Linked DNA regions of Arabidopsis thaliana. The protein of the gene in region 1 binds, or shares a complex with, the protein of each later gene. Each region holds a gene or a part of one and is shown on either strand. Other genes may lie near its edges.

Region 1 (3,492 bases):
TGAAGAAGAAACCGATAGGGAGAGTGGCGCCATTGATCACAAACATCATGTGGAGGAATCTACTAGCTCAAGCGTTTTACCAAATCTCTGTGCTCTTGGTGCTTCAGTTTAGAGGAAGATCGATTTTCAACGTGACTGAGAAAGTGAAGAACACTTTGATCTTCAATACATTTGTGCTTTGTCAGGTGTTCAACGAGTTTAACGCTAGGAGTTTGGAGAAGAAGAATGTGTTTAAAGGGTTACACAAGAACAGACTCTTCATTGGAATTATAGTTGTGACTGTGGTTTTGCAAGTTGTGATGGTTGAGTTTCTCAAGAGATTTGCTGATACAGAGAGGCTAAACTTGGGTCAATGGGGAGTTTGCATTGCCATCGCAGCTGCATCGTGGCCGATTGGATGGTTAGTGAAGTCTGTTCCGGTTCCAGAGAGACACTTCTTTAGCTACCTGAAATGGAAGAAGAGATCATGAAAGAGGCTCTTGAATTGATCTTACATTAGTATATACATTATGAAGCATTGATTTGTTTTTTCTTTTAGTATGTTTAACAGATTTGAATAAAGATTGATCATTTTCATTGAACAGCGTTTTTACATAACATGTATATATAGAGTGAAAATTAAGATTACAATCTTTTTAGAACGGACCAAGATTGTCTCCATCGATGCTAGCCAAAGCCATGAAGTCTTTCTCTGCCTCTCTCCACTCGGTATCTAACACGACGAAACGAACTCTGGCACCGATTTGAATCCGGGACATGTACTGATTCATGAAAAACGGGTTCTCGCCTGGAATGAACTCGTAACCAGGCATTTTCATGTGTGATAGGTAAATGATTTCATAAGGGCCAGATTTCAAAAAGACACCAGTCTTGTGAACCTTGTGCACCACACCATGAACAATCTCTCCTTTAAACATCTTGAAGCAGATTCCGTTAAAAACTACGGGAAACTGAATTTCGCCGGTCTGTTCCTTGATCTTACCCTCACCGATGTTCTCAAGAATTGTCGGTGTTATCAAGTATCCAAGATCTTTTGTTGCTTTCTCTTTAGAAAAGGCTTCGAGTAGACGAATGACAATAGCTCTCTGAAGCATAAGGCCAGTGTCCATATCTTCAGCTGGAATCGTAACATCCCATGGCAATTTCACTTTGATGAACATTTTCTTCAGCCTGAAACAGTGACATTTCAAAGAATCAGAAGTAGTCAATCACATTTTCACTAAAGATTATGCATTCTACAGAAACAAGCTAACCAATTTTACCAAAGTGATCAACTTGAAGTTTTCTTTTAGACATTTTAACAAACACTTGGCATACATGTCAACCATTGAAATGAATCTCAAACAATAAAGAAGAATAAAAAAGTTTCCGACTTTTCAATTAAGCATCAAGCCACCATTAATTTACTATAAGCTTAGCACCGTTTGCATTGTGAAATGTGATCATATCATCGTTCTTCACAAACCCTAGAGTGAATTTATCTGAGAAATTGGTTTGACAGATCAAAAGATTAAGTAGCTCTAACTTGAAATTACCAAACGACGAAATCTGAAGCTCTAATGGAACGAACAACTTCGGAAACAGACACCGATTGTAGCGTCGGAGAAGAAAAACATCAGTCGTGAAATGACTCAGGAGACGAAACTTCGGGTTTGGTTATTTACAAATTAATAGGCCCATTACTACAAGAGGCCTTTGAAGGCCCATTACAACAATTGGGTACGACTACTAGAATACATATATGAAGTCAAAAGTGAGTGATTAAATGGCGAAAAAAAAAAAAAAAAAAGTGAGTGATTAAATAGAAAAAGATGTAGTCAAAAGTCAAAAATACGTAAATCCTTATATGTAAAAACAATCGTTTCATTAATATGGTACAAAGTTTGAGGCCCAAATATTACAAGTTTCGTAAATTATCTTGCAAACGAAAAACAGTCTTTTTTTCTTCTGTATTTTATTTGGAAAAAGGTCAAGCCAGATTATACATAGGCTTCTCTCCCAATACAACAATGATTGTTGCTACAAGGCTTCACAACACAAACGTTACAATTTGAAACGAACAGTTTTGTCTTACACCGGAACCACTTCTGGTAGTCTACCATTACCCGCCGGAGTCAAGCTCTCATAGTAATCCACCAGAACTTTCCATCCACCTGGGCACATAAAACCGTCTGGCGGGTTTTCGTTGTTCTTTGCCAATGTGCGCATCTAGAATAATCGAAAAACATTTAGAGGTTTGTTTTATAAACAAACTATGAAGAATTTTAACAATGTAGGACTGGTATATTACCTTAGTGCCGGAGATGAACAAGAAATCTTGAGGCCTCGAGGGATCGAAGAAAGCCATCTTGCCTTGCGTCTTGTCATATGCAGCAACCTGCAGTTACACCAAGGAATTAGATCTCTACATTGTCAAACAAAAAGTGTGAATCTTTTCGAATTGTATATACCCTGAAAGGAAGGATGTTGAGTCGTTCGAGTCCTGGTGCCATGCTTAGTACTTTCTTTCCATGATCAGCATCGTAAAGATCACGTTTCTCTACTGGATGACCCATCCCAGCAGGATCACGACCCACAATGTAAAAGTTAGCACCAGCATTGATTCTAGCCTTTGCGTGCCACTGCACTTCGGTTGGACCAGCGTAATGCATAGGTGACGGGAATATCGAAACCACTGTAGTCTCCGGATCGAGAACACCATCCTCTAGAACCTGTTTTACATTCATAAACACATTTAGCATTTCAAGATACACACACTCACACTCAAGAGACACACAACAATCAATAACTTTTTTTACCTTCTCGTGTTGCTTCATCCTCCAATCTAAAGGAACATCATCAGCCTTTGTAAACCCACCTAACGGATGAAGCAAAAGAATAGGGTTTTTGTAACCCATCTCAAGAAGTCTCCTACGAGTATCAGTCATAAGAAGAGCATGACCATTATGAACAGGATTCCTCAGCTGGAAAGCAAACACCGCATCCGCATTACGCTTCTCCAACTCTTTACGTAACTCAGCAGGCGAAAGCCTGAAACGATCAAGCCCATCATTGTACTTCACTGGCTCAAGAACCTCAAGATCACCCCCAATGAGCCAGTTTCCAGCATTAGTTATCGCCTCGTCTACGTAAGGCAAACCTGGAGCCGTCGTACCCCATGTTCTAGCTATCCTTTCTTCCTTTGGATGCTTATAAATCTCAATACTGATCAAACATAAAAACAAACAGATTTCAGTAACCAATTACACATATAGCCAAATTCTAATCTCAAGATTAATCAGATCTAGTCTAAGTCTAATCGTGAATACATAGTTATTAATTTATCGAGTATTACTTTATCGAGATTATACTGTATTTAACTAATCTCAAAGAGAGATAAGTTCAAAATCAAATTCAAATCTCAGTTTTCGTCTTCTCCAACAATCTATGATCTGAATTTGAATCTGAGTATGTTGAAGAAGGACTTACTCGCTGAGGATAGCGACGGGGTTA
Region 2 (4,656 bases), on another chromosome or scaffold:
TGGTTGAGATGCTCTGATACTTGAAGCCTTTTTGCGATACTCTCGGGTATGCCAATCTCGTTGAGCTTCAAGGACGGATCACCAACAACTACTGTCCGGAATGTATGATCACTTCTTTTACCGAGCAGCACGTCTTTCATGAACCTTAGACCGCAAAGTTTTGGTGTATCAGACTTCTTCTGGTACGGATTTGCGGAATCTTTACTCGAAGACACAGTTTCCGAAAAGAGCTGTGCAAAAAACAAGAAATACTACTAACCTTCACAGAACAGAAAGAAGAGTTTAAATCTATCAGGAACCACTAACTTACTCTGGAATATTGCATGCATTCCATCACACGAGAACTCAATTCAAGTGTGTTTCCCTCAAAGCCGACTAGTTTCTTGTAGATCCGAGTCCGTTCATCCTTCAAAAATGTGACAGAAACTCGAAAAGATAAGAGAAATACCATAGTATATGATAACAAATTATATAAACAAGCGTTTTTAGCTTACAAATATTAGCCGAGCTCCGTTGAACTGATGAACTATTTCGGTTACACGGTAACCATTTGGTGTAACAGGAAAAGATGTCAGACCAAGAGAGTTGAACATAGGGATATCCTTCTTGATGAGCCTCTGATCAATCCCTAATAACAGAGCATAAACCTGCAAAAAGGTGAAATTTTCAGAAAACTATATATAGTAAGAAGTCATGGAGATGGTACATTTCACTCTTCTATACCTGTGCATGCGTTATTATTCGCCTTGTTGGTTTCAAACAGCTCTCGTCGATATTAGAGTCTTGCGGCAAAAAACTCCAATAGTCAGGAGGCAATGTTAACACTCCCCGTTTCTTGAGTTTCATCAGACTCTCTTCGTTTACTTCAACAACGATTCCGGATCGCCTGAAGACTTCTTTAGTAGTTACCCTAAACTTCATTAGAGGATAACCGGTATTCAACTGATATATAACAACAACAAAAACCGAAAATTAGTGTTGGAACAAAGTTTTAAACTGAGAAAATTAGTTGCAATCATATATTCTTACAGTGCAGTATCTACATCTCTCAGGCTGGTCTTCGGTAATCTATATCAAGCAAAAATGACATTAGTATATGTAGTTCCAAAACACACAAACCAACAAAGGATTTGGAAAGACTAGTGAACCTGAAACTGCTTTTTTCGAATGTATTTACACCCCGGACAGATTTTGTTTAACAACGCAGCTACCTCCTTGAGGAAATACGGGTTTATTATCGAGTACGCGAAGTTTATAACCCCGAAATGCCCTAAAACAGAGAGAAAAGTAGCAAACTCAGGGAACTAATCATAAAATGAGCTAAAAGATTGGAACAATATTTGCCAAAACCAGATTCTTTATGATACCTTCGCAAACTTTTCGATCTTTGCTGCCACAGGTTCTGCAGACAGAATCCGGATTCGGTAATCCTAGCCGAGAATCAGTCACCTGATTCGGTGCTTCAACCTCTAGCACAGACATTTTATCCTATAATAAAGTACCATTACATTAAATATTTGCTCCATCTACTCATAAACAAATCAAGAAGAATAAATAAGGACAACACTTACTCGATCATTGTTGTTTGAAATGCTAAAACCTATCGAGGTTAGAGTTCCCACGGGAACCTGAAGCTCCTCACAATCGTCTTCCATGTTGAAGAGTTTCCTACAAGAAAAAAAACCATCAGTAAGGAAAATTTAGATACGTAAGTAAAAACATCAGTTTTTATAAGCAAGTTTTAGTGACCAATTCCAATGTGCAGAATATGAAACAAAACCAATATTTAGCATTTAGACAGACAAAACCAAAAAACTCGCTCTGACCAATACTAACCACTGAGAAACAGACAACTTCACAAACTATCTCTGTGAGTGGCCACTTAGAATCTAGCATATATCCAAAGAAAAGAGAGAACATGTTCAGGGAAGAAGATTCTAGCTCAAAAATATTTGACGAACACACAAAATAGTTCAAACTTTGAACACACATTATTGAAAATTAACACTTACTTCTGTAACATAAAACAGAGCTAAAACTCACGGATAAATCGTCGAAAAGATCAGTTTCTATCTGTACCCTCTATCATCAAATCTAATGTGCAGCAGAATATGAAACAAAAACCAATCTTTAGCATTTCATTGACCAGAACACAAAAACCAAAGCAAACTCTCTCTGATCAAAAAATTGACCAAAGAGAAACAGACACTTTTGTTAAGGGACAAAAGTGTTACCACAATCTTCCTCTGTGACTGGCCTATCAAAAACAAGTTATAGATTCGAAATTGAATTTACTAATAGAATCTAGCATGAACCCAAAAAAATAAGAGAATACATGTTCAGAAAAAGAAGAAAGAAAAAAAACTGCAGAACATACACACAAAAAGGTTCAATCTTTGAACATACACTATTCATGGATTAAAAAAAAAAAAATTCACTGACCAAAAAAAAAAAAGGACAAATTTTCCAAATGTTCTTCTAAAGGACTCACACAAACCCTTAGTGCAAAAACATTCGCCGCCTTAAGATGATCTCTAAACGAAAGAAATCGATTTCTCATAAGAACATGCATAAACCAAAGTACTTAACTTTTCACAATCATCCAAAGTAAACAAAGTTCATAGAAACAAAATCGGAGTTCAAAGACAACGATCGATCAAATTTAAACAAAAGAACCGTGATAAGGAATCAGACACAGTGATCAATCAAAAAAAAAAAGAACTCAAATTGTTTCAAAGAGATAAAAAGAAAATTACCGAAAAAGGTTTTAAAAAAAAAAACGAAAGAAAAACCAGAAGAGAATTGAGGAAGAACAACAATGTAGTTACTTACTCGTTTCGTCGAACAGAGAATCCTCACTATGTAATGATCCAATTGAAACAGTGCACAGACAAAAACTTCTGATCCTTAGCTCCGACGGAAGATGCCGGAGAAGAAGTTGAAGAAGAGACTCTAAAGAAAGAACAAAAAAAAAGAGAGGAAAAAAAAATCGAAATCGGAGGCTTTTGAGAAGCCGCCGTTTGTATTCCCAAAGGAAACGGGAAAAAGTGAGAAAGCAGAGAAAACGAAAAAAAAACTCTTCTCTAAGTCCAATGGGGACTTTGGAATGTGAGACACCAAAAAAAAAAAAAAAAGAAGAAGAAAGAGTGTAAATACCGAAACTACCCCTTGACCTGTACCTCTATTTACCTACTTTACGAGTACACCTTTTACCTTTTGGAAATCTTTTTACTTCCTCGGTTGTATTATTTTAATTACTTTATGATTTTCTGTTTCTGCGAATTTTACCTTATTTGTATAAACTCTGAAACTGGGAAGAAAAGAAAAAGTTGAAATATCCTTCCTTAAGTATATTATATTAGCTGTATTAGTTTTTTACTTTTGGCCTAATTTTAAAACTGACAAAAAGTTATTAGAATAATTAATACTTTTTATTAGTTTAATGTAATATTTAAATAAATAAAAATAAGTGTATAACTAAATTTTCATCTTAGCAAAAAAAAAAAATCCTAGTGGTTTTTATTTCTAGCTTGATTTTTGGTTCATAACTATAATATGAATAGCGGGAAAAAAAAATATAATTTGAACCAAAAACAAATTCCATTTCTTTTCTTATATGATTTTGCGATTTTTCTAAATACTAGTTATAATCTCTAAATAATCTAAAATTACATAATTATACGAATTTATTTGTGAAGTTTGTGTTAGTATCAATCAAAGTATGATATGTAAAATAAAATTTTGTTTTACGTATAGTTGAGGCTATAAATTTGTTATCTTTGATTCGAAACATTTATATTTCGTTAAAATATATTTTTGTTCGATAAAAAAATTATGTGTAATTAAAATATATTTTTTGTTTGAAAAACAATTACAATTAGTTAGCTGCTTAGACAATTATCATATAATTTTATAAGAGGCGAAATGTGATAAATAACTAAATTAATTGAGACAAAAATAGATTAAAATTTATAAGATCTAGAATCTTATTTGAGAGTATGTGAATGTCCATTAATAAATCAAGATATATAAGTGAAATCAGTTTTTCTTGTCGGCGACGTGAAATTAGATTCTTGTTTACGTGAAGTTCACGCTTTCGTTTGTAAAACAGTTACATAGTTAGTTTAGTGGTTATTTATTAAAACAGTTTAACATATAATTATTACTAAAATATACTCCTTCTATTTAAAATTAGTTGTCGTTTAAGGTTTTTTGTCGGCGGCGTGAAATTGAATTTTTGTTTACGTGAAGTTCACGCTTTCGTTTGTAAAACAGTTATATAGTTAGTTTAGTGGTTAGTTATTAAAATAGTTTTGTTTAAAATTATTTGTCGTTTAAGATTTTTTGCAGTGAAAATAAAAAAAAACAATTAAATTTTCTACTTTACCCTTGTTCAATATAGTTTCTAAAAAAATTATTGGTCAAGACATTAATACTCACATTTTTATTAAACATTTGCATTAAAAAACTAAAAACGATAATTATTGTGAGATTAAATTTAAGTGCTAAAATGATAATTAAATTAAAACAAAATGAGTATTTGTTTTGAAAAACATGTAGTAGAATAAACTAGACTTAAAAATGTCCCAGTAAATTTTCTTATTAACCTTATAAACTGTAAACATTTGGGGTAGTCTAGTTAATAAAACTATTTAT

What was found. The genes of interacting proteins can lie anywhere in the genome.
Region 2: NRPD7 (region 1) and NRPD1A share a complex: the UniProt entries of both Arabidopsis thaliana proteins name them as parts of the RNA polymerase IV complex.

The regions. Positions count from the first base shown.
Region 1 is NC_003074.8:8,113,313-8,116,804, reverse strand, and holds NRPD7 (RNA polymerase Rpb7-like, N-terminal domain-containing protein), read right to left. Parts: upstream 1,741-3,492; 5' UTR 1,536-1,740; exon of another isoform or gene 1,526-1,535; intron 1,171-1,525; 5' UTR 1,161-1,170; coding exon 636-1,160; 3' UTR 552-635; downstream 1-551. Other genes in the region: AT3G22910 (ATPase E1-E2 type family protein / haloacid dehalogenase-like hydrolase family protein), read left to right, coding at 1-470; APS1 (ATP sulfurylase 1), read right to left, coding at 2,071-2,208, 2,291-2,377, 2,451-2,711, 2,799-3,204, 3,469-3,492. UniProt on the Arabidopsis thaliana protein: DNA-dependent RNA polymerase catalyzes the transcription of DNA into RNA using the four ribonucleoside triphosphates as substrates. Component of RNA polymerase IV which mediates 24-nt short-interfering RNAs (siRNA) accumulation.
Region 2 is NC_003070.9:23,359,472-23,364,127, forward strand, and holds the start of NRPD1A (nuclear RNA polymerase D1A), read right to left. Parts: upstream 3,017-4,656; 5' UTR 2,966-3,016; exon of another isoform or gene 2,833-2,965; intron 2,722-2,832; 5' UTR 2,677-2,721; intron 1,669-2,676; 5' UTR 1,656-1,668; coding exon 1,572-1,655; intron 1,489-1,571; coding exon 1,368-1,488; intron 1,271-1,367; coding exon 1,149-1,270; intron 1,069-1,148; coding exon 1,030-1,068; intron 943-1,029; coding exon 724-942; intron 648-723; coding exon 495-647; intron 407-494; coding exon 311-406; intron 261-310; exon of another isoform or gene 231-260; coding exon 1-230. UniProt on the Arabidopsis thaliana protein: DNA-dependent RNA polymerase catalyzes the transcription of DNA into RNA using the four ribonucleoside triphosphates as substrates. Largest and catalytic component of RNA polymerase IV which mediates 24-nt short-interfering RNAs (siRNA) accumulation.